Linked DNA regions of Macaca mulatta. The protein of the gene in region 6 purifies or fractionates together with the protein of the main gene of each other region. This does not show direct contact. Links are inferred from orthologs where the notes say so. Each region holds a gene or a part of one and is shown on either strand. Other genes may lie near its edges.

The links.
Region 1: the proteins of KBTBD7 (region 6) and LLGL2 purify together in Homo sapiens (co-immunoprecipitation; 4 studies listed by BioGRID and IntAct, counting the BioPlex papers as one, with this or other methods). This does not show direct contact. The link is inferred for Macaca mulatta from reciprocal best matches to the Homo sapiens genes KBTBD7 and LLGL2.
Region 2: the proteins of KBTBD7 (region 6) and TMEM160 purify together in Homo sapiens (co-immunoprecipitation; 3 studies listed by BioGRID and IntAct, counting the BioPlex papers as one, with this or other methods). This does not show direct contact. The link is inferred for Macaca mulatta from reciprocal best matches to the Homo sapiens genes KBTBD7 and TMEM160.
Region 3: the proteins of KBTBD7 (region 6) and TJP2 purify together in Homo sapiens (co-immunoprecipitation; 4 studies listed by BioGRID and IntAct, with this or other methods). This does not show direct contact. The link is inferred for Macaca mulatta from reciprocal best matches to the Homo sapiens genes KBTBD7 and TJP2.
Region 4: the proteins of KBTBD7 (region 6) and OBSL1 purify together in Homo sapiens (affinity purification with mass spectrometry; 3 studies listed by BioGRID and IntAct, with this or other methods). This does not show direct contact. The link is inferred for Macaca mulatta from reciprocal best matches to the Homo sapiens genes KBTBD7 and OBSL1.
Region 5: the proteins of KBTBD7 (region 6) and MTERF4 purify together in Homo sapiens (co-immunoprecipitation; 3 studies listed by BioGRID and IntAct, counting the BioPlex papers as one, with this or other methods). This does not show direct contact. The link is inferred for Macaca mulatta from reciprocal best matches to the Homo sapiens genes KBTBD7 and MTERF4.
Region 7: the proteins of KBTBD7 (region 6) and TJP1 purify together in Homo sapiens (co-immunoprecipitation; 3 studies listed by BioGRID and IntAct, counting the BioPlex papers as one, with this or other methods). This does not show direct contact. The link is inferred for Macaca mulatta from reciprocal best matches to the Homo sapiens genes KBTBD7 and TJP1.

Annotation. Positions count from the first base shown.
Region 1 is NC_133421.1:85,273,742-85,277,170, reverse strand, and holds the end of LLGL2 (LLGL scribble cell polarity complex component 2), read right to left. Parts: intron 2,683-3,429; coding exon 2,418-2,682; intron 2,216-2,417; coding exon 2,065-2,215; exon of another isoform or gene 2,046-2,064; intron 1,751-2,045; coding exon 1,722-1,750; intron 1,591-1,721; exon of another isoform or gene 1,500-1,590; coding exon 1,452-1,499; intron 1,258-1,451; coding exon 1,215-1,257; intron 1,102-1,214; coding exon 1,043-1,101; intron 840-1,042; coding exon 832-839; coding exon of another isoform or gene 804-831; 3' UTR 501-803; downstream 1-500. UniProt on the Homo sapiens protein: Part of a complex with GPSM2/LGN, PRKCI/aPKC and PARD6B/Par-6, which may ensure the correct organization and orientation of bipolar spindles for normal cell division.
Region 2 is NC_133424.1:59,525,747-59,529,884, forward strand, and holds the start of TMEM160 (transmembrane protein 160 precursor), read right to left. Parts: upstream 2,801-4,138; 5' UTR 2,792-2,800; coding exon 2,584-2,791; intron 574-2,583; coding exon 481-573; intron 117-480; coding exon 1-116.
Region 3 is NC_133420.1:100,258,634-100,262,799, reverse strand, and holds the start of TJP2 (tight junction protein 2), read right to left. Parts: upstream 2,801-4,166; 5' UTR 2,794-2,800; coding exon 2,722-2,793; intron 1-2,721. UniProt on the Homo sapiens protein: Plays a role in tight junctions and adherens junctions. Acts as a positive regulator of RANKL-induced osteoclast differentiation, potentially via mediating downstream transcriptional activity.
Region 4 is NC_133417.1:124,796,764-124,800,263, forward strand, and holds part of OBSL1 (obscurin-like protein 1), read right to left. Parts: intron 3,434-3,500; coding exon 3,146-3,433; intron 2,960-3,145; coding exon 2,684-2,959; intron 1,738-2,683; coding exon 1,468-1,737; intron 1,304-1,467; coding exon 1,031-1,303; intron 1-1,030. UniProt on the Homo sapiens protein: Core component of the 3M complex, a complex required to regulate microtubule dynamics and genome integrity. It is unclear how the 3M complex regulates microtubules, it could act by controlling the level of a microtubule stabilizer.
Region 5 is NC_133417.1:146,364,363-146,368,637, reverse strand, and holds the start of MTERF4 (transcription termination factor 4, mitochondrial), read left to right. Parts: upstream 1-1,475; 5' UTR 1,476-1,513; coding exon 1,514-1,534; intron 1,535-2,573; exon of another isoform or gene 2,574-2,628; coding exon of another isoform or gene 2,629-2,631; intron 2,632-3,891; coding exon 3,892-4,275. UniProt on the Homo sapiens protein: Regulator of mitochondrial ribosome biogenesis and translation. Binds to mitochondrial ribosomal RNAs 16S, 12S and 7S and targets NSUN4 RNA methyltransferase to the mitochondrial large ribosomal subunit (39S).
Region 6 is NC_133422.1:20,614,150-20,618,439, reverse strand, and holds the start of KBTBD7 (kelch repeat and BTB domain-containing protein 7), read left to right. Parts: upstream 1-1,490; 5' UTR 1,491-1,799; coding exon 1,800-3,857; 3' UTR 3,858-4,290. UniProt on the Homo sapiens protein: As part of the CUL3(KBTBD6/7) E3 ubiquitin ligase complex functions as a substrate adapter for the RAC1 guanine exchange factor (GEF) TIAM1, mediating its 'Lys-48' ubiquitination and proteasomal degradation.
Region 7 is NC_133412.1:8,711,510-8,715,009, reverse strand, and holds part of TJP1 (tight junction protein 1), read right to left. Parts: intron 2,013-3,500; coding exon 1,795-2,012; intron 526-1,794; coding exon 382-525; intron 1-381. UniProt on the Homo sapiens protein: TJP1, TJP2, and TJP3 are closely related scaffolding proteins that link tight junction (TJ) transmembrane proteins such as claudins, junctional adhesion molecules, and occludin to the actin cytoskeleton.

The DNA.
Region 1 (3,429 bases), on a different chromosome or scaffold from region 6:
ACACCAGAGAACCCCACGCACTGGCCATACAGTAGGTGCTCAACGAAGACGAGTCAATAAAGATCCAACCCATGTCCAATCTAAATAACCCAGCCTCTCCCCTGGGGGAGGCCTTTCTCCTTGGGGACCACCTCCCCTTCAGCAGCACCCCACAGTCCTCCCTGGTGTCTGGAGGAAGCCAACAGGTCTGAGATACTGGGGTGCCCTTCTCCTCCTGACAGTAGGGAAAGGCCAGCCAGGGGTGGCCAGGACCCAGGGAAACAAGTAAGGCAGACTCAAGATGGTTCGTGCTTGCTATGTGTTCCCAGAGAGGGAAGGCACAGCCGGGCTCAGACACAACTACGCAGTTTGATTCACACGACTCCCAAAGTGGATTCTCCTGATGCCAGCCCAGGCCAGGGCTAGAGCCTCGGGGGACAGGCAGGGTACCGGCTCCCACTTTGTATTCACATGGAAAATTTCTACACAATTGAAATATTAAAGTAGGTGGACCAGTCCAGTGAAGAGGTAATAGGTGTTTATTAAAAACTTTTTCACCCAGAGGCAGTTACCATGTATAACTTAAACCCCAGCCCACTACAAAAAGGGATGGGGGCAATAAAAACTGTGCAACATTGACCAAAGGACCCAGACAGACGAGACCCGGGAAGGGCAGCCCCAGGGGCCGGGGCCTCTCCTCTCCCGAGGCCTGGAGCAGCTGCATTGTGGAAGCCGGGGCGCCCCTATCCCCTGGTGTGGCCCTGTGCACCGGCCTCTCCGGCTGGGGCAGGGACCTCCAAAAGGCCATCAGTAGTAGTGTGTGCTCATCGTGCAGCCTGGCCGCTCAGCCACTCACTCTGCTGAAGGACACAGAGGGACAGCTCAGGATCGCCCTGGGCAGGACGGGGTGCCCCAGCCGCCCACACTGAGCCCAGACATGGTGCTTTCCAGGTCATCAGGGCACGTGTACGGCCCTGTGGAATCCAGGGGAGTGGGACCAGGGCTCTTCCTCCCATCCCTTCCCAGCACATCTGGCAACTGCACTCAAGCCCAGAGCCCCCACCTCCGCCATTGCTGAGGCTGCGCCCCATGGCCGCTCGATGTGAATGCCAGTTGAGGCTCCTGCATGGGCAAAGACAGGGGAGTCATGACCTCAGGGGGCCTCCACTCCCAGCGCTCCCGAGCCCCCTGGCAGAGCCCCGGGCCCACCCCAGCCAGCCTGGGTGGTGCCTCACCCGCGGTCTCCCTCCAGTGTGCTCTGGATTTCCTTCAGGACTCCTGCAGGCCGGGTGGGAACAGAGGCCCACTGAGGCCCTTGGGGCGGCCAGCCACAGCCTTTCCACCCCCTTTCACCATGGGTGCCGGATGGATCTGTCCCCTGCCTCAGGGTAACGGCCTGCCCACCCTCCCTTGACCCTGATCCCCCCTTCCCCACCCCTCCTGCCAGCCCCACGCTCTCCCACCCAACTCACTCTCATCACTGAGCAGAGCGCGCTCCATCACCAAGCCGGGCTGCTTCTCTGGAAGGTAGAGGCCGGGTCAGGGAGCCCCGCCTGGGCCCTCCTCGGCCTGGCTCTCTCCTTACTGAGGTCGGGATGTGGAAGCCCAGGGCTGGAAGGAATGCCGTCTCTACTCCCAGCCCAAACACTACCTGCTCACTCAGGACCCCGTCCCTCCCGTCCAGCCCCAGGTCTGGGCTGGGTGTGGCCCAGGTGTGCATGGGCCCAGGAGGCCTGTCTTACCCTCGCCATCACTCTGAGTCCCTGAGTTCCTGTGGGGAGAGAGACAGTGAGGACCAGGGCCTCTGGGCTCCCTGCCCAGCTCTGAGAGCCCTGGTCCCATGAAGAACAAAGTCAATGGTGCAGCCTGCCCTGAGCAGGAGAGCCTGGGAGGTAAACTGAGTCCTGCCCTGGACTGCCAGCTTGCACAGGGGCAAGGGGCACGCGAAGAGGTATAGAGAGCCAGAGCCTGGGAGGGTGGGCTGAGCTTGTGGGGAGGTGTCTCTGGCCAGGCAGCAGTGGGAGCCTCAGGGTATCTCAGAGAGGGCAGGGAGGGGCAGGAGAGGCCTCTGGCCCTTTCACTCACCTGGCTCGGCTCGGCACCTTCTTGGGGCCTGCCCCGTTACCAGGGCGGTGGTTCTTGGTTTCTGCTGAATCCACCAGACACCGGGGCTCCACCAGCCACTTGGTGGAGAGAGAGAAGCGCTCGAACTCCGAGGGTGAGATCAGGTAGAAGCCTGGGGAGTGGGGGCAATGCTAGTGGCCTGGCCTGGTGGCTGCCAAGGCTGCTTCCCAACCTGGGGGAGCAGGGGCTAGCGTTCCCTCGCAGTTCTCCGCTTAAGGCCCATCCAGTCTGGCCATGGCCACAACACCCCTGGCCACCCTTCCCGTCCCTGCAGTGCCTGGGGCCCCCACACCCGCCCAGCCCAGCTCGAACACCTTGGCCATATTTGGTGAAGACGCAGGAGGCGATGCCACTGACGTCCTCCCGGCGGATGCAGCTGTAGCGCACCTGGGGCTTGAGCAGTGGCAGCGACACCACCTGGATGTCACCCAGATTGGTGAGGACTGCCAGGTGGTGCTCCCCATAGTCCTCAGCTCGACGACTGCCGAAGTGGGCCACGCTGACCCGCCTCACCCTTGAGCCCTCCAGGGCCGTCAGCTTCAGCTTCAGCTTGGCACTCACCTTGGGCAGCGTGAACACCTGGGGGTGCGGGGTGGTCGTTCACGCCCATGGCCAAACCAGTTCTCCTGTGAGGTGCTGTAGGTGCTGGGCCCTCCCCTCCCCGCATGCCTCCCGGTGTCCTGGCAAACCCTTGGCTCTCAGATGCACAGACACAGCCTGGGGGGATGCCGAGGTCACCGACTTCCCTGTCTGGAATTTTTTTTTTTTTTGAGACAGAGTCTTGCTCTGTCACCCAGGCTGGAGTGCAGTGGTATGATCTCGGCTCACTGCAAGCTCCACCTCCCAGGTTCACATCATTCTCCTGCCTCAGCTTCCCAAGTAGCTGGGATTACAGGCACCCGCTACCACGCCCGGCTAAATTTTTGTATTTTTAGTAGGGATGGGGTTACACCACGTTAGCCAGGATGGTCTTGATCTCCTGACCTCATGATCTGCCCACCTCGGCCTCCCAAAGTGCTGGGATTACAGGTGGAAGCCACCGTGCCCAGCCTTTTTTTTTTTTTCTGAGATAGAGTCTTGCTCTGTTGCCCAGGCTCAACTACAGCAGCGTGATCTCGGCTTACTGCAACCTCCGCCTCAAGTAATTCTCCTGCCTCAGTCTCCCGAGTAGAGCTGGGATTACAGGCGGCCGCCACCACGCCGGGCTACATTTTTTTGTATTTTTAGTAGAGTTGGGGTTTCACCATGTTGGTCAGGCTGGTCTTGAACTCCTGACCTTGTGATCTGGCCTCCCAATGTGACTTGGCCTCCCAAAGTGCTGGGATT
Region 2 (4,138 bases), on a different chromosome or scaffold from region 6:
CACGCCCACGGCCGCGCCCCCCAGCGTCAGCTGCATGGGCCCTCGCAGCGCCGCCAGGCCCACCGCGTACGAGGCACTGCCCCACACCACGCACAGGCCGCCCAGCAGGAAGAAGCCTGCGGGAGAGGCAGGGTAGCGACAGGGCCAAGGTCGGGGGACGAAAAGGTATCGGGGGTGTGGGGAATGGTCTGGGAGCAAAGCCAGGGTTGAGGAGACAGGAACAGAGGCAGGGCCGTGCCAGGGGCTGGACTGCATCTTTGAGAATCAGATCGGAGGGGAGGGGACCATAGCCATGTCCTGGGCCACCCATTCAGATGGGCCCATGGGAGGGGTGTCTTCCTGGTGGGGGAAGAATGGGGGTTCTGTGCTTACTACTGGGAGTGGGATGGGATGGGAAAGTCTACCCTCACCAGGACAGGTGGTAGGGGCTCTGGATTCCCTGGTTCCCTGGTGGAGGTGAGAGTGGGGATCTGTACTCACCATATGCTGCTTCGCGACCCATGTCACTCTGCATGAAGGAGATGACTCCGATGCCCGATGCCAGGAGGCCATTTCGGAACCAGGAGAGAAAGGCTGGAGGGAGGGAGACATGGGGGGATTAACATCACCCCCAACCCTACCTCCTCAATCTCCCTTGCCCTGTAAAACTGAAGGGGCTCCCCCTTCAGCTCACTCCACCCCATGCAGCCACAAGGCAAGCCCACCCCAAATCCTCACCTCTTCCTGGAAGTCCCTCACCTAACCACATCCCCCCACATGCTCTCTGGCCTCCACCTCAGTGCCCCTCTCCCCCAAACTCTGTAACACTAAGGATTCAAGGGCTGGGTGCGGTGGCTCACGCCTGTAGTTCCAGCACTTTGGGAGGCCAAGGCAGGTAGATCACGAGGTCAGGAGTTTGAGACTAGCCTGGCCAACATAGTCAAACCCCGTCTCTACTAAAAATACTAAAATTAGCAGGGTGTGGTGGCACGTGCCTGTAGTCCCAGCTATTCGGGAAGCTGAGGGAGGAGAATCACTTGAATCCAGGAGGTGGAGTTTGTAGTGAGCCAAGATCTTGCCACAGCACTCCAGCCTGGGTGACAGAGCGAGACTCCGTCTCAAAAAAATAAATAAAGGATTCAAGATAGTCCCTGCAGAATGTGGAGGACAATCCAGGGGCAAAATTGCAGAACCTCCAATCTGAAGAGCCATCCTGACCAACCCCCTCCCTCTATGTATATCCCCACGGCCTGCCTACTTACTTCTTTCTCAGAACTCTGGGGCAAACTTTCCTAACCCAGGCCGCACTTCAGCCTCGCCCTTCCTTTCCTTCAAATGCCGCCATCTCCTACCGAGTATGGCCTGCGCCAATCCCATCCACGTCCGTCCCCATTCAAGTCCCTTACAAACAGCCCACCACACCCTATATCTAGATACCCAGTACTGGCCCAGTGAGGTGGCTCACGCCTGTAATCCCAGCACTTTGGGAAGCCAAGGCAAGATTGTATGAGCCCAAGAGTTCAGACCAGCCTGGGCAACAAAGCGAGACCCCGTCTCTGCATAAATTAAAATAGTTGGGCACGGTGGTGTATGCCTGTAGCGCCAGCTAAGCAGGAGGCTGAGGCAAGAGGATGACTTGAGTCCAGGAGTTGAAGGCTGCAGTGGGCTAAAATTGTGCCACTGCACTCAAGCCTGGGTGACAGAGCAAAACATTGTCATTAAAAAAATAAAATTGGCCGGGCGCGGTGGCTCAAGCCTGTAATCCCAGCACTTTGGGAGGCCGAGACGGGCGGATCACGAGGTTAGGAGATCGAGACCATCCTGGCTAACACGGTGAAACCCCGTCTCTACTAAAAAATACAAAAAACTAGCCGGGCGAGGTGGCGGGCGCCTGTAGTCACAGCTACTTGAGAGGCTGAGGCAGGAGAATGGCGTAAACCCGGGAGGCGGAGCTTGCAGTGAGCTGAGATCCGGCCACTGCACTCCAGCCCCGATGACAGAGCGAGACTCCGTCTCAAAAAAATAAATTAATTAAATTAAATTAAATTAAATTAAATTAAAAAAAAAAATAGATGGCCACTCCGCTACATTCTGGACCTCGCCTCCGTCACAAGCCCCGCCCCCTGCAGCCTAGATCACCTCCCCCTCCAATCAGCAGAGAGCTTTTTCCCTATTGGTTGTCCCCTCCTCCAATCCTGAACTTCCCCCTCGTCTGCGGGGATCCACACTCCCGCTCTCTGCACAGTGGTGGCCTCTGTAATCGGGACGGACCCCTCTAGTACCCAACTCCACAGACTCTAAGCTTTCCCTGGAAGCCCCTCTTCACACGACAGGCGCGATTCTACGAGGCTGCCTCGCGCAACCCTACCACCCCCTCCAATCCCTACGGCGCCCCGTTACGCGGGGTCCTCGTCCTCCCCGAAAGCCCATCCTCTCTGCGGGCACCTGCGCTCTTGCACTCTGCGCTTCCGTGCGCTCACACTGAAGCCCTTCTCGGAGCCGAGCCCGGGCCCCGTTTCCTGCAGAAGCCTCCGCCCCATCGAGGTTCCACGCGCGCCCGGGACCCCCGTCCCATCCACGCCGCCCCCACCTCCAGCCACCGACCTGTCTCGTGCGCCTTTCGGAGGAGCCAGGCGTCCGCACGGTCCAGCTCGGACACTGGGGGCGGCGAAGCCCCGGCGCGGGGACCGTGGCCGGGGGCGAAGGACCCCCGGGCGCCCCCGCTCCGGGGCCGCTGAGGCGGCAGTAGCGACCTCCGGAAGCGGAGACGGGCGAGGCGAGCGGCCCGAGCCCACCACCAGCCGCCTCCCATGGTTCGCACTACGGGCGCCGCGCGCCGTACCGCCCCACGGGCCTCCTGTAGGTTGCAACCCATGTCACTCAGGCTGAATGGCTTACCCATTGGCTATGCGCTCGCCACTCAGTTTCGGCGTGAACTGTCCATTGGTCGGAATGGTAGTGATTCCCTCCTCTGTCATCTAGGCCGGTAGTGCGCGTCCCTCCTTGATTTTGTCACTGGACTACGAATCCCAGCGATCATTGCGTTCGGGGAAAGACGATCTACAGAAGTCGTAGGCGAGATGTCTGCTGGAACTTGTAGTTTTTATTCTATTTTTTTTTTTTTAACGGAGTACACGCTGAACACCTATTGTAGTTCTTTTCTTTTCCTTTCTCTCTCTCTATTTCTTTCCTTCCTTCCTTCTTTCTTTCTCTTTCCTTCCTTCTCTTTCTTCTTTCTCTCCTTCCTTCCCTCCTTCCTTCCTTCCTTCCTTCCTTCTCTTTCTTCTTTCTTTTTCTCCTTCCTTCCCTCCTTCCTTCCTTCCTTTCCTCCCTCTTCTTTTCTCTTTTCTTTTCTTCTTTTTTTTTCTTCGGAGACTGAGTCTTGCTCTGTCGCCCAGGCTGCAGTGCAGTGGCGTGATCTCGGCTCACTGCAACCTCCGCCTCTCGGGTTCAAGCAATTCTCCGGCCTCAGCCTCCCGCATAGCTGGGATTAGAGGCACCTGCCATCACGCCCGGCTAATTTTTGTATTTTTAGTAAAGACGGGGTTTCACCATGTTGGTCAGGCTGGTCTCAAACTCCTGACCTCATGATCTGACCGCTTCAGCCTCCCAAAGCACTGGGGTTACAGGCGTGAGCCACCGCACCCGGCCTGTAGTTTGTATTAATTACGTCAATTCCAATGGCCAGAAAACAAAACAAAACGTGGGGCACTTAATGGAGAATCTTTGCAAAATCTTGAAGATCTCAGAAAGGAGAGTAAACCTCAACAGTAATTCCACCAATGAGTGATTACTACTACCATCTTGTATTCCTGTCCAGTGTTTTTTCTATGCAGATATAAAATAAGATGCCACCTGACCATTAATTTTTCTTCACATAACAATATATTGTGATCATTAACCCAAAGCATTGATTTTTTATGGCTTTTTTTTTTTTTTTAATTCTAAGTATCAGGCCAGGCCAGGCGCAGTGGCTCACGCCTGTAATCTCAACACATTTTGGGAGGCTGAGGCAGGCAGATCATTTGAGGTCAGGAGTTTGAGACCAGCCTGGTGAAACCCTGTCTCTACTACAAATACAAAAATTATGGCCTGGCATAGTGGCTCACGCCTAAAGTGAGGCCAAGGTGGGTGGGTCACCTGAGGTCAGGAATTCGAG
Region 3 (4,166 bases), on a different chromosome or scaffold from region 6:
AGCAAACTACTGAGTGTCTTTCCTGCCTCATTTATATAATTTTTCAGAAACATAGAGCACCCCACATAATCATCCTTATTCCTCAGAACATCAGCTCTGGGAACATCCCTGGGCTGCCAGGGTGCAGCAGCTTAGCTGGGAGCTGTGGTCATGGCATTCAAACTAGGCCACCGGGCTCTGGTCCCGCCCAACTTGTGCTTGGCTATGCGCAGATCAGACTTGCTAGCAATAACTGACGTTTCTCTGAATGACAGCAGGTAGCTGCTTAGCACGAGGGGGAGCTTTACAGGCAGGCCCATAGAGACAGCACACATACATCAGAATTAAAGGCATGCACATTCCACGACCCAGTCATTCCTCTACCCAGGCAGAGGCCCCCAGAAAACTGTGTGACTATATGCACAAGGACACATGTATATTCACAGCAGCAATGTTCCCAACGGCCAAAACCTGGAAAATATCCCAGTATCTCTCAAGGGCAGGATGGACAAATTGATACATTATTAAAATACAATGTTATATTGCAATGAAGACAGACAAACCAGTCACACAGACCACCACAAAAGGGATGCATCTCAAACATAAAGTTGAGTGAAAAACACCCCAGAAGGATTTGTAGAGTATGATACCATTTTTATACAGCTCAAAAAACAATGTTTTACAACAACTTGAATAACTTTACACTACTGAACTGTACATTTACAAATGGTAAAGACAGTAAATTTTGTTATGCATTTTCGCTACAGAAAAAAATTGCCAACAAAATTAATCTATTATTTAGGGGTGTGTGTTTGTGTGTATGTGTATGTGTGTGCGCGCGTACGCACCCATGCAGTGAAAATATAAAGAAAAAGCAAGGAAATGAAAAACATAACATTCAGGATGAGGTGACCTGGCCAGGAGGCAGAGTGTGGTGGGAGGTACACAAATTTCCCTTGTGTTTTGTTTTGGTAACGGTCTGCAGATATGTGTAATGGGCTCATGGCATTTGTTTATTATGCTTCATGATTTAGATATTTAATTCTTTTAGAGTACCAAACATTTCATAAGTTTAAAAGAATAGGGAGATGAGGCCAGGCCAGGCGCAGTGGCTCATGCCTGTAATCCCAGCACTTTGGGAGGCCGAGATAGGTGGATCACAAGGTCAGGAGACCGGGACCGTCCTGGCTAACACAGTGAAACCCCATCTCTACTAAAAATACAAAAAATTAGCTGGGCGTAGTGGTGGGCACCTGTAGTCCCAGCTACTCGGGAGGCTGAGGCAGGAGAATGGCGTGAACCCGGGAGGCGGAGCTTGCAGTGAGCCGAGATCGCACCACTGCACTCCAGCCTGGGCAACAGAGCTAGACTCCGTCTCAAAAAATAAATAAATAAAATAAATAAATAAATAAAAAATAGGGAGATGAGTGGGTGAACATCAAAGTGAATACTCACTCCTGGTGAAGGATCTAGGTATCCAAGAGGCACAGGTATACTTAACAGCAAATTTTTCAATGCAGTTAGAATTTTGCAAAGTGAAGAGGGTACAATAATTTCAACTGGAAGGAGAGCGAGTTGAGGGATGGTACCAGTAATTTGAAAGGGGCAAGGGGGGTGAAGCAAGGCAGGTGCGGTGGGCAGGGTGGGGACACAGGTGTTAGGTCTGGGGAGCTGTGGGGGGAGGTGCACGCAGAAAACGCTAAATCGCCTTCTTAATCCAAGTGTCAACATTCTATCCATCAGGAGGATCTTCAATGTGCTTTCATCATCTTTCCTTATCACTTTTACTTTTCATGTAAGTAGTGTTCATGACAACCCCCTTTATATCGTAACAGGCTTCTTAGACCTCATGGAAAGTTAAAAGTAAGCTAACTCTTCTACCATAAACAAAAAACTTAATGCATTAACAGTAAGGTTTTTGTGTGACAAAATAAGAGAAAGGAACTAAGGCAAATAGTTATTTGTTGTGCTTTTTTTAATCTACTTTTTATAAAGCTTTTTTCCTTCGAAAAATCTTGGCCAGACAGGTTAAAATCCTATATATTTTACATAAAAAATGTAGAAACGTGTTAAAAGCCAACCCTAAAACAGATACCGAAGTGTTCACTGCCCAAAGTCCCCCTGAGCAGGCAGCTTTTAGATTCTATATCCACGGACTGCTGCTGCCCAGTGATGGAGGTCAAAGCTAAAACCAAAGATTAATTGAAAGCTGTCCACATAAGAGACACGCTTCGTAAGTCTCAAGTCATAAAAGTAAACACTCACACATGTTCAAACCACAAGGAAAAAAAGAACATGTGAAAAACACTTTTTCTTCTTCTAAGTTAGAAGCCTAGACATAGTAAGAATATAGATTTCTGCAACATAAGAAAGCAAAAAGTTTTATGCCAAAACAAGAAATTCTCATACATGAACAAACACAAAAGCCAGTATGTTAAGCTCTACCCAGGAAGCAAAACCATTACAGATTCCGAGCACATGGACAACAGCAGCCTTTGATCCACAGATCCAGTAAGAGGCTATAAGTTTCACACAGATGTGCTAAAATCAATACAAGTATTTTTTTAAAAAACCACCAGTGACTAACTACAACCTACAATCTCACAATTTGTTGCTGAAAGATGCCAGAAGCACAAACACATCTGAGGATAAAGGAGTTACTGAGAGAATGGTTTTGCTTCCCTCCCCTTCCCATGAAGAAAGGTTGGGGAAAACAAGGGGAGAGCTTGCAGAGGGACTCACACGGCCTTTCCATCTCCCCAACTTTTTAACAGCCTGGATCCACATCCTACGCAGGGCTTGAGCAGTCTTCATGGTCTCTGGAGATGCATGGGCCAGGCCACCGCCTACATCCCGGGCTGCTCACCCATTTCCATCACTCCACGTGGTTACGTAAGGCGGATACAATAGTGGCCCACATTTCCAGCAAATCCTGTTGTCATCTCACACAGTGACACATCCATACGGCAGGGATGCCAAACGCTTTGAAAAGCACTACTTATGAGCAAAAAAGAAAGCAGTTCGGATTTGCACCACTTTCACAGCTTTTTTCTTCTCCCTCTCTCTCCCTTGCCAGGGAACTAGAGCATCCGAGTAGGTATTTCTTTTAGGCACATAAAATGATTCACCATCTAAGTTGACAGTATTAAGTAAATGAGACATTTTAGAGCAACACTATGGAAAAGAATAGTTAGAGAAGTATTTATGTATACAGTATAGACCCTCTGATACACACACACACACACAAGCCAGCCAGAAATAAACTAGCAATGTTTCAGGTCAACTGAATGGCTAATGTTACATAGAAATTAAAAGGCATGAAAAGAAAACATTTTATATCCTTGGAGATAACAAGGGGGAGATAAGACTCGATCATTTGGTGCTGCTCAGAGACAACTCAGGGACAGAAGGCTTGCTCAGCAAAGTTCCACTATCTAACCTTTTTGGAAACTTAGCAGATAAAAGAATAACAAAGAACCCTGCCGTCTGTTTCTTTGTCTTTACCACCTGGGGAGAAGGGAGGGGTGGAGAAGCAAATTTTAGGTTTCTGAACATCTAGCAAAGATTTTATGGGATGCTTGGGGCTTGGGAGCTGGGGTTGGGATTTCAGAAGCCTGGTCTTGGGGAGCCTCTGGCCAATTCTTGCTACCATGGTGTATGTTATATGCCAATGGGTTGAGTCAAATAGCTTGCAAATGGAAAATGTGCCATCTGATTTGAGGCTGAGATGTATATAAATCTGGACCATGAGATGGCCACCATCTAGGAAACAAGGCGAAGCAGAGCCAACGAAGTGATTTTTAAAGTCACAAGATCTGGAGTGAGATCCTTGTCCTGTCACTTAGCTGTGGGGCACTGGATATACTATACCCTTCTTTATACAGTGGCGATAAAACCATCTACACCTCAGAAGGGCAATGTCAGCAAGAAACAAGGCAATCTCCACAAAGCACTCGTGCTGGTGCAGGACAGGCACTGGGAAATGTGTGTGTCCTTTCCTAAGGGTCTATGACAGTAAGTTCTCAGTTGAGTTCTTAGTAAGTGTTATGACAGTTAAATGAGATCAAAAGTGAATAAAAGTTTGTTTCAAATCCTACACTTTGCCAGGTACAGTTGCTCATGCCTGTAATCCTAGCACTCTGGGAGGTCGAGATGCGCAGATCGCCTGAGCCCAGAAGTTCGAGAGC
Region 4 (3,500 bases), on a different chromosome or scaffold from region 6:
CATGGAGTCTGGGTGAGGGGTACTGTGACACTTGAAGGAGCATGGAATTTGGCGTCAGACACACTAGAATGGAACCTCGCTCTACCACATAGTTAGTGTGCTGTGTGATCTTTGGCAAATGGCCTGACCTCTCTGGGCCCCAGTTGCCCCAGCTGTACAAGGTGAATAACACTGGGACACAGGTTTATTGTGATGATTTCTTGAATGAAATAAGTTAGAACAGATGTGTCACCAATGACAACCATTCACCAATCTCTGTGTAAGAATTTTCATCTCAGTTAATGTTCCCAGAGACACTTGAGACGGGGATCAACCCCATTTTAAAAATTTGAGACAGGGTCTTGCTGTCATCCAGGCTGGAATGCCATGGCATGATCATAGCTCACTACAGCCTCAAACTCCTGAGTTCAAGCAATCATTCCACCTCAGCCTCCCTAGTAACTACCATGCCTGGCTAATTTTTATTTTTTTTGTAGAGACGGGTTCTTGCTATGTTGCCCAGGATGGCCTCAAACTACTGGCCTCAAGGGATCCTCCTGCCTTGGTCTCCCAAAGTGTTAGGATTACAGGCATCAGCCACTGCACCTGGTCTCAGCCCCATTTTTAAGGAGACTTGGCTCAGAGAGGTTAACTTGCATGAGGTCACACAGGAAACAGAGGGCTCCAGCTTTGGGTAGGACGTGTGGGGTGCTGTTTGCCAGTCATCCCTGCTACTTAAGTGGGTATGTGTATCCCTAGAATACATGACTGAAGGATGCCCACGGCAGGTCTTTCTGGAGAATATTTGTGTTTATAGCAAAGCCAACTTGAAATATGCAATGGAATGCAAAATCCACATGGACTTCTAAGGTAAATAAAAAATATTAGAAAAAGAAAAGTTTTGCTTTGGGCAGGCTGCTGCTGGGACGGCCACGGTTGACTTTTCTCAGCGGTGAGGGGCACTTTGGTGGGGGCCTGAGGGACTCCAGGACAGCCAGAAAAGGCTGTGCTGTGGGGTGGGTAATGCATTAAGAGAGGACAGGGCACTCACGCCTCACGCTGAGCCTGGCCAGTGTGCGATCGTGGTGACTCTCACAGCCGTAGGTGCCCTGGTCAGCTAGTATGACACCATGGATGTAGAGGCGGTGGATGTGCCCATCCTGGGCCATGGACAGGCGAGAGTCGTGGGGCAGGGGCTGCCCACCTCGTACCCAGCGCACAGCCCCCGCTGCACCCACTCGGCCTGTCTCCACTTCGAGACACACGTCCTGGCCTTCCTCTGCCCGCACGTCCTGCAACCGCCGTAGGAACAGCAGCTCTGTCTCTGGTGGGGAAGAAGGAGGAGGCCATGGAGCCTGGTGGGGTTGGAAGCTGGCCCCTTGCTCCATCCCACTGGTCTGTCCCTAGGTAGATGGGCAAGGCTGCTGGGGTCTGAGTTGGGAGTACAGGCACAGGACACAGAGCACCTCATCCTCACCAGGACCTAACCTCGAACATGGAGCCGGGCACTTGTGGTCGTGCTCCCTGCCCGCACAGTCACGGTCCCTGCATCACCCAGTTGGCAGCCTCGCAAGGTTAAGATGCGGCTTGAACCATTCTGGGCCATCTCCACCTGGGGCCCTGGAGTGACGACGGCCCCATTGCGCAGCCAGGTGACATCGGCATCTGGTGGGGAGACTTTACACCGGAACGTGGCATCATCGCCCTCGTGGACAGTGAGTGGTGTCAGCTCTGAGACCAGCTTCACCGGCAGTGGCTCTGAGGGGCACGGTCAGGCAGTGAGCTGGGCTGGGTCTTTTCTCCTCTCTCCTTTTCATCCCCTCCTCAGGGTACAGGCCCTCATCCCCAGTCATTTAACAAACCTTCCGTGAGGACCTACTATGTATCGACCACACGGGTGGCCCAAAGGACAAGATGCCAGCTCCCTGCCAATTCTTTTAGTCAGTTCCTCGCAATCCTAGCCTAGCACCCCACCTTGGTGATGCACTAATAATATCATTTACCAGGGACCCTATTTACAGCATTTACTTGTCACAACAGGTCTATAAGACAAGCACTATCCCCTCTTTTCAGAACTGGGGCTCACACAGGTTGAACAACTTTGCCAATGTCACACAGCTACTGGGGCACAAAATCCAGGCTGGAACCTGGGTGGGTGGACGCCAGAGCCTCTGCTTTTAACCACCAGTCTATGCTTTTTTTTTTTTTTTTTTTTTTTTTTTTTTGAGAGGGAGTCTCGCTCTGTCGCCCAGGCTGGAGTGCAGTGGCCGGATCTCAGCTCACTGTAAGCTCTGCCTCCCGGGTTCACGCCATTCTCCTGCCTCAGCCTCCCGAGTAGCTGGGACTATAGGCGCCCACCACCTCGCCCGGCTAGTTTTTTGTATTTTTTAGTAGAGACGGGGTTTCACCGTGTTAGCCAGGATGGTCTCGATCTCCTGACCTTGTGATCCGCCCGTCTCGGCCTCCCAAAGTGCTGGGATTACAGGCTTGAGCCACCGCGCCCGGCCCAGTCTATGCTTTTAACCCTCTCACATGAGGGTTTCTGGAAAGGGGAGCCCTGAGCCCCTATCCAAGTGATGGTCATGCACACCCTGGTTGGAGCCAGAGGCAGCAAAGCGGGGATGGAGGGGTAAGGGGGCCCTAAAGTGTACCAGGTGGTCCTTGGGGTGCCAGAGCCCACAGGGTTTGAGGGGTACGCTGTTACCTTCCACGCTGACAAGAAAGATGCGGCTGTCCTGGGGCGCGTCACACAGGTACTCCCCAGCGTCCCCACTTCGTGCCCCCTGCACCCGCAGCACCTGCCTGGCCCCGGCCTGCTCCAGCTGCACCCGTCCCTGGCTTGCCAGTCGCTCCCCGTCCTTGTACCAGCGCACAGGGCCCCCTGGCCCGGAGAGGTGCACCACCAGCTCTAGGTCCCCGCCTGGGGTGCTCCGAACCCTCGTCTGGGCTGCCTCGGGAGCTACCACCCGCACAGGGGGCTCTGTGGAGTCAGAGCTGGAGGTCACTGGGGGGGAGAGGCTCAGGGCTTTGAGGAGGGCAGGGGGAGGCATGATGGGGAGGGTACTAAGAGAAGCGGGGCCAGGGATGGGCAGGACATGCTGGAAAAGCAGGAATCCTACAGGGTTTGGGGTGCCACTCTCAGGCTTAGTGCCGAGGCTGTACTCACCAGCCACCTGGACAGTGAAGCTGAGGCTCGGGGCTCCTGGGGCTGCTCCCGACTGGCAGGTGTAGAGCCCTGCATGGGCTAGGCTTGCAGCCTGGATGCAGAGGACTCGGCGGGGGCCCTCGGCATGGAGCTCTAAGCCCTCGCCCTCCTGCACAGGCCTCCCATTGTGGCTCCAGACCACGGGGGCGCCAGCCCGGGACAGTTCACAGCTCAGCACCACTGGCTCCCCCGGGGCCACACACAGCGGACTTGGGGTTGTCTCTGGAGCAAGGAACTGCACTGGGGCCTCTGGACAAGAGAGGAGGGTGTCAGCGCATGCTTGCCCTTGCCTCCCTGCCCCGGGTTGGCCAGGAGC
Region 5 (4,275 bases), on a different chromosome or scaffold from region 6:
AGACAAGGTCTTGCTCTGTTACACAGGCTGGAGTGCAGTGGTGCAATCACGGCTCACTGCAGCCTCAACCTCGTGGACTCAAGTGATCCTCCCACCTCAGGCTCCTGAGTAGCTGGGACTACAGGTGCAGGCCACTGCTCCCGGCTAGTTTTTGTTTTTTGTAGAGACAGGGTTTTCCTATGTTGCTCAGGTTGGTCTTGAACTCCTGAGCCCGGTGATCCTCCTACCTCAGCCTCTCAGAGTGCTGGGATTACAGGCGTGGGCCACTTGCACCCTGCCAAAGAAACCAATTCTTTAGTTCTACACAGATTGGAACCTTCCTTTTCTTTGATATAATCCTTTTGTCAAAAGATAGTTGGCCGGGCACGGTGGCTCAAGCCTGTAATCCCAGCACTTTGGGAGGCCGAGATGGGCGGATCACGAGGTCAGGAGATCGAGACCATCCTGGCTAACACAGTGAAACCCCGTCTCTACTAAAAAAAAAAAAAAAAAGATAGTTTTACAGAAACAGTTTAGCACCCAACTCCGTGCCTGGCGCAGAGCAGATATGTAAATGTGTACCCATGCAAGAATCAAATCCTTTATGTCAGTCCAGAATGAAGTGGATAAAACAAGAAATGCTTATAAATTAAGGCTTTGGTGGCAGGATTTAGGCAGCTGAGAAAGCACACCTTTTTATTCTTCACAAACATCACCTTTTGAAAGATGCCTACGCTCTTATCCTCAAACATGTCGAGAGAGAAAATTTAAGAATGAATACACTTTGGGCTGTAACTTTACTGTATTTCATCCTAACAGGGACCCAGACCTCTAAGTTGGGAAGGCTCTTGCTTATAAAGGGAAATGTCCCATAATTCCTGTCATTTTACTTGGGTCTTTTAAAAACGGCAAATTCTCATCTTCCACTGGCTGAGAGTAAAAAAGAAATAAAAGCGGTAAAGACTTCTTTTTGTGCGTAGGTGGCCCCGCTGTTCATGGTGAATACAGATTTTTACACAATGAAACCTTAAATATCTCTATCTGGAACGGAATCCGTTTTTCCTGCCTCGGGAAGGATTTCTGCGCTCTCGGGTGAAGTTCCTGAAGCAAGGAACCAGTTCCCCTCTCCCTGTATCTACCCGTCCTCTTGAGAGGAATTCTCAGGTCACCTGAAACACGAGTGTGGGCCAGGACGACCCATTCGTTCACCCAGCCCAGAGCTCTGCGAAGCGGGACACGGGCAGTGCAACGGGAACGACCGGACGCCGACGCCCCCGAGGACTGAGGCCGCGGCAGAGGCGGCGGGGCGGTGACGGGCGCGACTCCGGCCTCCCAGCTTTGCGGAGGGGCGGCCCCGGGACACCCGAGCCCCGCGGGGTCGTGAGGGCTCAGCACAGCTACGGGCCGGAACCATGATCCACCAGCACCGCGCTGGCGCTGGGAACTGCGGTGGTGACGGACCGAGGGCCGGAAGTGAAGGACCGGGGAGGACGGCTGCTTCCGGCGCCGTAGCTGTCGCCATCTCCTCCGCGCCATGGCTGCGTTGGGCCGTCAGGTGAGGTCGCGCTGGGCGCGGGGGCTTCTCCAGGTGGCAGATGGGGGGGCAGCGACGCAGAGGAACCGCGGCCGCCGGGTGTTTCACGGCCAGGTCGTGGAGCCCTTCTGGAGGTCCGTGCACGGTGACCTGGTTTTGGCATCCTGGACCCGTGGCTCTGCTCAATTTTTGTGGGGTATAGAGTTGACTTTTTTTTTTTTTTTTTTTTTTTGAGACAGAGTATCGCTCTGTCGCCAGGCTTGAGTGCAGTGGCGCGATCTCGGCTCACCGCAGCCTCCGCTTCCTGGGTTCAAGCGATTCTGCTTCAGCCGAGTAGCTGGGATTACCAGCGCCCGCCGCCATGCCCGGCTAATTTTTGTATTTTTAGTAGAGACGGCGTTTCACCGTGTTGGCCAGGCTGGTCTCTAACGCCTGGCCTCAGGTGATCCACCCGCCTCGAACTCCCAAAGTGCTGGGATTGCAGGCGTGAGCCGCCGCGCCCGGCCTGAGTTGACTCTTGAACAAGAGTTTGAACTTCACAAGGAAGGTAACATGTATTTACTATTCATTAAGAGGAAGCGGAATCCGCATAAAGGTCTTTAGGCTCAAGCCCAGTTTCCCGGGCTGCGCCCGCTGAGCCCAGCGACTGCCCGGTGTTCCTGGCGGAGGGAGCATCTGGACAGGGGAGGCTGGAGAGCAGCCATGGGCTTGGCAGGCTGGCCCCGGGGCGACAGTCGACGCTGGAGAAGGGGTTGGGACCGATGTGAAGGGTTTAGAGCAGGGGTTCCCCAATCCTCGGTACCGGTCCCTGGCCTGTTAGGAACCAGGCTGCACAGCAGGAGGTGAGCGGCGAGTGAGCCAGCCAAACTTGGTGTGCATTTACAGCCACTCCCCTCGCTGGCATTGCAGCCTGAGCTCCGCCTCCCGTCGGACCAGCCGCCTTAGACTCTCACTGCAGCGCGAACCCTATTGTGGACTGCGCCTTTGAGGGATCTAGGTTGCCTGCTCCTTATGAGAATCTAATGCCTGATGATCTGTCACTGTTTCCCATCACCCCCAGATGGGACCTTCTGGTTGTAGGAAAACAAGTTCAGGGCTCCCAGTGATTCTACATTATGGTGAGTTGTATAATTATTTCATCTTCTATTACAACGTGAAAATAATAGAAATAAAGTGTACAACAACTGTAATGTGCTTGAATCATCCGGAAACCCCTCAGCAGTCTGTGGAAAAACTGTCTTCCTTGAAGGCAGTCCCTGGTGCCAGAAAGGTTGAAGACTGCTGGCTTAGAGTGCCTGGATGATTTGTGCATAGTTTGTTAAGCACCATCCTGAACAGCTGAAGACTTTTGAGTCAACTGGAATTGTGTATGCAAGTTGACTAACTACTGTGACCCTTGAACAACACAGGAGTTAGGGGCACCAGACCGCCCCGACACCAGTTGAAAATCAGTGTATAATGTTTGACTTCTCTAAAACTCAACTACTAATAGCCTACTCATGACTGGAAGTCTTACCGGCAACATAAACAGTCCGTTAACACATATCGTGTTTATCTACTGCACTCTGTGTTCTTAACATAAGCTAGAGAAAAGAAAACGTTATTAAGAAAACCATAAGGGCAAAACCCCGTCTCTACAAAAAATACAAAAATTAGCAGGGTGTAGTGTGCGCCTGTAGTCCCAGCTACTCAGAAGGCTGGGGTGGGAGGATCACCTCAGCCTGGGGAGGTCAAGGCTGCAGTGAGCCATGATTGCACCACTACACTCCAGCCTAGGCAACAGAGTGAGACCCCATCTCAAAAAACAAACAAAAATCCTAAGAGAAAATGTATTTACTATTCATTAAGAGGAAGCAGATCCTCATAAGGTCTTTAGGCTGACGTGGAGGTAGAGGAGAGTTTGGTCTTGGTGTCTCAAGGGTGGCAGAGGTGGAAGAAAATCCACATATAAGTGGATCCGAGCAGTTCAAACCCTTGTTGTTCAAGGGCCAACTCTATCCCACAAGATTCTTCTCGTGGAATGAATTTAAGAACATGAATCTGGAAAGCAGTCTGAGGTCCAGTCTTTTCTGGCACACATGACCAGGTGACCTGGTTTTTCCCTCTTCCTCCATGTCTCTGCTTCCGTCCTTAAAGCTACAAAAGCCAACAATATTGTACCTGCTTGACTCCCATCTCTGTGACCTTGAAGTACCCTGTTCTCTCTATGTGAGCTTCCTTCTCTGTAGCTTAAGTTCAGATATGATTTTGCAGATTGCTTTAAAAACTGTATGTTTGTGTGGAACCAAGGCAGTAAGTACTCTGGCTCAAAGGTCTTGTGGTGTCCATTACACTGGGATAGTGAGGAATTAATTGTCTTTTGGTCCTGTGTCTTACAGGTCCTTGATTGGCACCGCCTGATCCCCCTCACCTGGGCCTGGATGGCTAGGCAGACTCCTCATCTTGGAGAACAGAGAAGGATGACAGCTTCCTTGTTGCGCAAACTGACCACAGCCTCCAATGGAGGGGTCACTGAGGAGTTATCTTGTGTTAGATCCAATAACTATGTGCAGGAACCAGAGTGCAGGAGGAATCGTGTTCAGTGCCGCCTCGAGAAGCAGAGGACTCCTGTGGAACAAGGGTCCTTGGAGCTAGAGAGGGTCATCAGTTCCCTCCTGGACATGGGTTTCAGCAATGCCCATATTAATGAATTGCTCAGTATACGACCAGGTGCCAGTCTTCAACAGTTGCTGGACATCATTTCAGAATTTATTCTCTTGGGT
Region 6 (4,290 bases):
GTTATGGTAATATAAACTAGCAGCAGGAGCAGTCACTGGTTTTGTAATAAAAGTTATCTGAAAAAGTCAATCTGTTACCAGTGGAGGGTGTCCAGGTTCTTGGCGTTTTGGACAAAGAATTGGAAGAAACACATAAACAAAGCAAGGAAAGAATGAAACAACAAAATCAGAGATGTACTGAAAATGAAAGTACACTCCAGTGTGGGCGCAGGCCCAGCACAGGGCTCAAGGGCCCTGTTACAGAATTCCTGGAGGTTTAAATACCCTCTAGAGGATTCACTGGTTACTTGGTGTATACCCTATGTAAACGAAGAGAATGAATTAAAGTTACAAACTCATTTACTCGGCATACACCCTATGGAGAGGATATTTCTTGTTATAGCTAAAGTGTGAATCGGCCTTATGTTCCCTGCCTCCAGACCCTATTTTCCTGCCTCAAATCTCTAATACTTGATTTTGATGATTTAACTGTTGATCAATGCAAATATAAAAGACTTTTGTAAAGCATAGGCTATACTGTATGTTAATTCAAGGAATGTCAGGGCATGTACTAATGCTGAATTCTGAGAATCACGTGCTTTTGTACAGAACAAAGTCTGTTTCTTGAAATATTTTGAGTTAAATACTCCCTAAAACTCCTTAATAAAGGCAATTACAGAATCTGTTAATTGATATGTGGAATGGCAGTGAAAGAGGCTGTATTAGACGACTTGAAAACACTCATATTTGGAGCTTAATGAAAATATTCCTGCTCCCCAGAGATGAAATGTTAGTGAGAGTAGCAAATAATCTATTTTTATATGCCCGATTTGCATATTTGAGGCCATCTATTAACACCGTTCTTTAGGACCTCAACCTAGTCGTCTAAGACATCCTTATTAAACAAGGCCAATACGTACCATTTAACATTGAAAATAGTTAATGCCCTTCAAAATCTTTCAAAAGAATAAAAATTAAAAACTAAGTTCTTTGTAAAATTTTGCGGTTTAAAATAATTTTTAAAATTTTAAAAATTTTTTGGTTTCAAATTAGTGGGTGCCTCATTTATCATAAATTATAAAAGAGAATCTAACAATTATTGGCTACATTCTAGGCACGGGGTAACGCTTTATTGTTCTTCTAACCAAAAAAATATATGTATCTAAGTATCCTATGTAACGTATCATTCAATCACACAAAACCCTATGAAATACTGGCAGGGCCCGGTGGCTCACGCCTGTAATCCCAGCACTTTGAGAGGCAGAGGCAGGAGGATAATTTGAGCCCTCAGGAGTTCAAGACCAGCCTGGACAACAATAGTGAGACATCGTCACTTCACCATCATATCCAGAATTAATTTCTACTGTTAGGGCAGTCAGCGAAAGGAAAGCTCGCGATATTACACAAACTACTACTCCCAACATGCAAAGCGGTTTCTTTCCCTCTGTCCCCGCCCGGCCGTCCGAGAGCCCCAGCAGGCCTCGGGGCGCGAAAGGCAACCTGGAAGCGGTAGTTCTCCTGGGCGCCTAGCGGGATCGCCAGCGCGGCAGTGGGGCCTTCCGCGGCTCCAAGCCAGCGGGTCCTGTGAGGGCGAGCGGAGGCGGAGAAAGGGCGCGGGAGTGAGAGAGGGTGAGTCAGCCACTGTCTACGCAATAAAGGGAGGCCTCACCGCGGGCTAGGGCTGAATTCAGAAGTGCGGCCCGTGCCGCAGTCTGTTCCAGGACGCGGCTTGTCTTAGCGTCTGCGAGGGAAGGTTGAGGAGGAGCCAGAGCCGGGTCCGGCAGCCTTTCTCGCTATCAGCGCCCGTCGCCATCTCCACCATGCAGTCCCGGGAAGACGCCCCGCGCTCTCGCCGCCTCGCCAGCCCCCGCGGTGGGAGGCGGCCCAAGAGGATTTCCAAGCCCTCGGTTTCGGCCTTTTTCACGGGTCCAGAGGAATTAAAGGACACGGCCCATTCTGCAGCCCTGCTGGCACAGCTCAAGTCTTTCTACGACGCGCGGCTGCTGTGTGATGTGACCATCGAGGTGGTGACGCCTGGCAGCGGGCCTGGCACGGGTCGCCTCTTTTCCTGCAATCGCAACGTGCTAGCAGCTGCGTGTCCCTACTTCAAGAGCATGTTCACAGGTGGCATGTACGAGAGCCAGCAGGCCAGCGTGACCATGCACGATGTGGACGCCGAGTCCTTCGAGGTGTTGGTCGACTACTGCTACACGGGTCGTGTGTCTCTCAGCGAGGCCAATGTGCAGCGCCTGTACGCAGCCTCCGACATGCTGCAACTGGAGTATGTGCGGGAAGCCTGTGCCTCCTTCTTAGCCCGACGTCTTGACCTGACCAACTGCACCGCCATCCTCAAGTTTGCAGACGCCTTCGACCATCACAAGCTTCGATCTCAGGCCCAGTCCTATATAGCTCAGAACTTCAAGCAGCTCAGCCGAATGGGTTCAATTCGGGAAGAGACTCTAGCAGATCTGACCCTGGCCCAGCTGCTGGCTGTCCTGCGCTTGGATAGTCTGGACATAGAGAGTGAGCGGACTGTATGCCATGTAGCTGTGCAGTGGCTGGAGGCTGCTCCCAAGGAGCGGGGTCCCAGTGCTGCGGAAGTCTTCAAGTGCGTGCGCTGGATGCACTTCACTGAAGAAGATCAGGACTACTTAGAAGGGCTGCTGACCAAGCCCATTGTGAAGAAGTACTGCCTGGACGTTATTGAAGGGGCCCTGCAGATGCGCTATGGTGACCTGTTGTACAAGTCTCTGGTGCCAGTGCCAAACAGCAGCAGCAGCAGCAGTAGCAGCAGCAACTCTCTTGTATCTGCAGCAGAAAATCCACCCCAGAGACTGGGTATGTGTGCCAAGGAGATGGTGATCTTCTTTGGACACCCCAGAGATCCCTTTCTCTGCTATGACCCTTACTCAGGGGACATTTACACAATGCCATCACCTTTGACCAGCTTTGCTCACACTAAGACTGTTACCTCCTCAGCTGTCTGTGTCTCCCCAGACCATGACATCTATCTAGCTGCCCAGCCAAGGAAAGACCTCTGGGTGTATAAACCAGCTCAGAATAGTTGGCAGCAACTTGCAGATCGCTTGCTGTGTCGTGAGGGCATGGATGTGGCATATCTCAATGGCTACATCTACATTTTGGGGGGGCGAGACCCTATTACTGGAGTTAAGTTGAAGGAAGTGGAATGCTACAGTGTTCAGAGAAACCAGTGGGCATTGGTGGCTCCTGTCCCTCATTCCTTCTATTCCTTTGAACTCATAGTGGTTCAGAACTATCTTTATGCTGTCAACAGTAAGCGCATGCTCTGCTATGATCCTAGCCACAATATGTGGCTGAACTGTGCTTCTCTTAAACGCAGTGACTTTCAGGAAGCATGTGTTTTCAATGATGAAATCTATTGTATCTGTGACATCCCAGTCATGAAGGTCTACAACCCAGCTAGGGGAGAATGGAGGCGGATTAGTAATATTCCTTTGGATTCAGAGACCCACAACTACCAGATTGTCAATCATGACCGAAAGTTGCTTCTCATCACTTCTACAACCCCACAATGGAAAAAGAACCGAGTAACAGTGTATGAGTATGATACTAGGGAAGATCAGTGGATTAATATAGGTACTATGTTAGGCCTTTTGCAGTTTGACTCTGGCTTTATTTGCCTTTGTGCCCGTGTTTATCCTTCCTGCCTTGAACCTGGTCAGAGTTTTATTACTGAGGAAGATGATGCACGGAGTGAGTCTAGTACTGAATGGGACTTAGATGGATTCAGTGAGCTGGACTCTGAGTCAGGAAGTTCAAGTTCTTTTTCAGATGATGAAGTCTGGGTGCAAGTAGCACCTCAGCGAAATGCACAGGATCAGCAGGGTTCTTTGTAAATAGATTTTGAGACACTAAGATGTTTCTACTGCTACGGAATGTATTTTAAACACATATCCTTTCTTTTTCTTGAAAAAAAAAAAGTTGACCAGGACCACAGATTTGGTTTAGAAAGGGTAATATTTTGAAATACTACAAGGTTTAAACAGTCCACAAAATCGACCTGTTTAATAATATACCTTCCTGAAAGTCCAAAATTAAAATATGGAAGCAAGAACTATGTAATTGACTGGGATGCTTGGTAGGTTTTTTTCATTGTTCAAATATTCATTGCACAGTGGATTGTTTTGATTAGTTAGTATGCTTTTTTTTTTTTAATTAATTCAGTCTTCTGTTAATTTTTAAGTTTTGGTTAGTGCCACAAGGAATTTAACTTTTTAATCTGTACAATAGAAAACTGGACTAGGAATTGTTGGTGGAGTTTTGAAGGAT
Region 7 (3,500 bases), on a different chromosome or scaffold from region 6:
ACTACAGGCATGTGCCAACACATCTAATTTTTGTATTTTTAGTATAGATGGGGTTTCACCATGTTGGCCAGGCTGGTCTCGAACTCCTGACCTTAGGTGATCCACCCGCCTTGGCCTCCCAAAGTGCTGGGACTACAGGCGTGAGCCACCACGCCTGGCCCAAATGATCAATTTTTAAAAGGAAGCAACTCTTCTATCTTTCCATGGAATTTATTTACAATATATGCACCATAAATAAATGTGGAAATACCGGTGATGCCTACAAGGCCACAGGAACAGAGGGAGAGATTTGCTAACACACAGCATGGGTAGCATCACCAGCCCAGGTATTAATCAACGACAGTCCCCAAAGCCCCAAAGGACAGAGTGAAGACAGCATACCCGACGAGGAGTCGGATGATTTTAGAGCAAAAGACCAACCGTCAGGAGTCATGGACGCACAGTGTGGTAAGCGCAGCTCCACAGGCTTCAGGAACTTGAGGCCATGGGGACCACACATCACCAAGGGACTCAGCAGTGTTTCACCTGGAGTTGGAAAAGGGGATAGGCAGAGAGGTTGGATGTGGTCTTTCTTCTAGACCCCCAGTTTTCCTCACCCTGCTTCTAATTATATGCTTGAAAGCCTAATGCAGTTAGTTCTCTACAATCGCACTGACCACAAAAAAAATGTAACAGCAGACACATATGGAATTTTAAATTTCCCAGTAGCCACGTTAGAAAGTAAAAAGAAACAGGTGATAACAAATAGTATAGTATTATAACTCAATATAACCAAAACACTGTTATTTCAACATGTAACCAATATATGGTATCTTTGGAACTTGATGTTTATTTCACATTTCCAGCATCTTTCAATCCAAAATTGTCACACTTCAAGTGCGAGGTAGCCACGTGCAGGTAGTGGCTACTGCATTCAATCATATGGGTCTATAGTATAAAACATATTCAAATGTACTTGTTACAAATGTGACATATTTTCCATTTTTAAAATTTGCTCCATAGATGCTTAAAGGATTCATGCAGGGCCAACACAGTCAGTCCTACTGGTTTTTAAAACAGGATATCCCCAAAATCAGAGTACAGAATCAGATATCAGTATTCTGGCAAAACGTAAGAAAGTGTTAACTGATTTAGGAAAGTAAAAGCACTGCTAAAAGATGCTAAATCACGACACAGTTCGTTACAATATCCTGATAGATCCAGGAGGATTATGAAAATAACAGTTTCCTTAAGAAGCTCAGAAACATACTGTCGTCTCCTCTGAGACTCCGTGCACTCTGCCGAGCATGTACTAGTGCTGGGTTCTGGGGTGATGGTAAGACAGTACCTGTCAAGACGTTTAGGTTCTCCAATCAGGTGAAGACACAGCAAAGCCTTTCTGAGTGGGTGTTACCTAACCCATCTCCAGAGACCCAAAGGCTGACGGACTCAAAGACAAACTTGGTCAGGTCAGCCCAGGCTGCTCAGCAGGCACAAGTGAGAGACACCCCGTGGCCTGTCCTATGCCATCATTTTTTTACTTCATACCAAAAGTAAAAGCAGGCGGTGTGGCCACCACAGCCTTGCCTCAGGCCACCTCCTGCCTGCTTGCAACACCATCCCCAGGGCACCCCTCGCTACAGCACTCATCTGAAAGGACCTCCCTGATGAAAGGAACATGCTATTATTAGTGGCCCAGGGTGGAGGCAGAGAGAGGTGCTGCATTACCCCCTTAGCCAAGCACTATAAGCTTTGAAGTGCACACAGGGCAACTCTTAAGTTATCAAAACTAAGGAGAAAAATAAACACATTTACCTTTCTCTTTATCTAAAGGTGGGAGGATGCTGTTGTCTCGGCAGACCTTGAAATAGATTTCCTGCTCAACTCCTTCGGGAATGGCTCCTTGAGGGATAATTATACTGACTCCAGTTTCTATGGAACTCAGCACGCCACCATTGCTGTTAAATATGCCTCGCGCTGTGGCCACCACAGTATGACCATCTTCATCTTCATCCTCTTCCACAGCTGAAGGACTGAAAGTTCAGAAATGGCTAGTGAGTGAATTCCTAATAGTACACAGGTGCTTTGCTTTTACTACTACTGTATTACGTGCTTTCATTTTACTTTTGTTTCTCCATATAATCAAGAAGTTACTTTAACAAGGTAAGTTTCTGGCAACAGATTTTACTGACAGGGTTATCTCAGAGAGTATTATTATCATTATTACTATTCTGAGACAGAGTCTCACTCTGCTGCCCAGGCTGGAGTGCAGTGGCACGATCTTGGCTCACTGCAACCTCTGCCTCCCAGGTTCAAATGATTTTTCTGCCTCAGCCTCCCGAGTAGCTGGGGCTACAGGCATGTGCCACCACGCCTGGCTAATTTTTGTATTTTTAGTAGAGATGGGGTTTCACCATATTGGCCGGGCTGGTCTCAAACTCCTAATCTCATCATGATCCACCTGCCTCAGCCTCCCAAAGTGCTGGGATTAGAGGCATGAGCCACCGTGCCCGGCTGTTCTTCCATTCTTAGTGACACAAAACAATGGTGCATCTCACAGCTGACAGCATCTCAGACTTGATAACATCTCCCTAGGATTTTAAGTACACATGAATATGGTCCTGCCTCAGCATCCCTGAGGACCAAGTGCCCACCCTGCTGCAGAAGGCAAGGCTTCCAAGGTTCCATGAGCTGAAGACCCTTGTATGGGCACATCCCAAACATCCACAAAAAGAGAGACAGTAGATTAACTTAGTAATCACAGAACACCAAAGGCAAAGGGGATGTGGTATCAATGACGGCTTCAAAAATAGAGGCTATCAAGACTTCCTGAAGGACAGTTTTGAGCCAGGGCTTAAAGGTGAGCAGAAAGACCAACAAAACAGAATCACATGAAGGTAGCTGCAGCTTCACTCCAGCATGACCGGAGTGCCAGGGACGACATCCTACGGCACAATATCAAGGGAGCAGAGTGCAGCCTGAGCTGCATAGCAGGGGTCAACTGTGTCTGTCCCTGACCACCGGTGGATGTGCAGAGCTAGGAAGGCAGTGACCGCCATAACCATCCTTGCTCTCGGAAAGCAGCCTCAGGTGGCCATCCTGACCTTTGGTTCTCCCTGCCTATAACTGCTTCTGCTTTACGGTGGTATGAAAATGGAACTGGCTGTAGGAGGGTGAGATGAGCTAATGTGTGGCCAGAATCCATCCGGGCAATCGCCACGGAATGAAAGACAGGAAAGAGGAGCTGCAGGGAGGCTCCAGGAGGGCTTGCTCTGTCTCATTTGCTCAGCCATCTTACTAACTGCTGCTCTTTAAACAGTCAGGGCTATTCTATTTTTCTTCTTAGCATCATTGTGGAACAAATAATGAAAGAGGAACATAGATATTTAACGTTTTTAGATGTCCTCCACATGCCCCTTAACAGCAGGTCAGGAGAATACAAGAGGCCATGGCTGGTTAAGAGTATGGGTTCTCGGCTGGGTGCAGTGGCTCACACCTGTAATCCCAGCACTTTGGGAGGC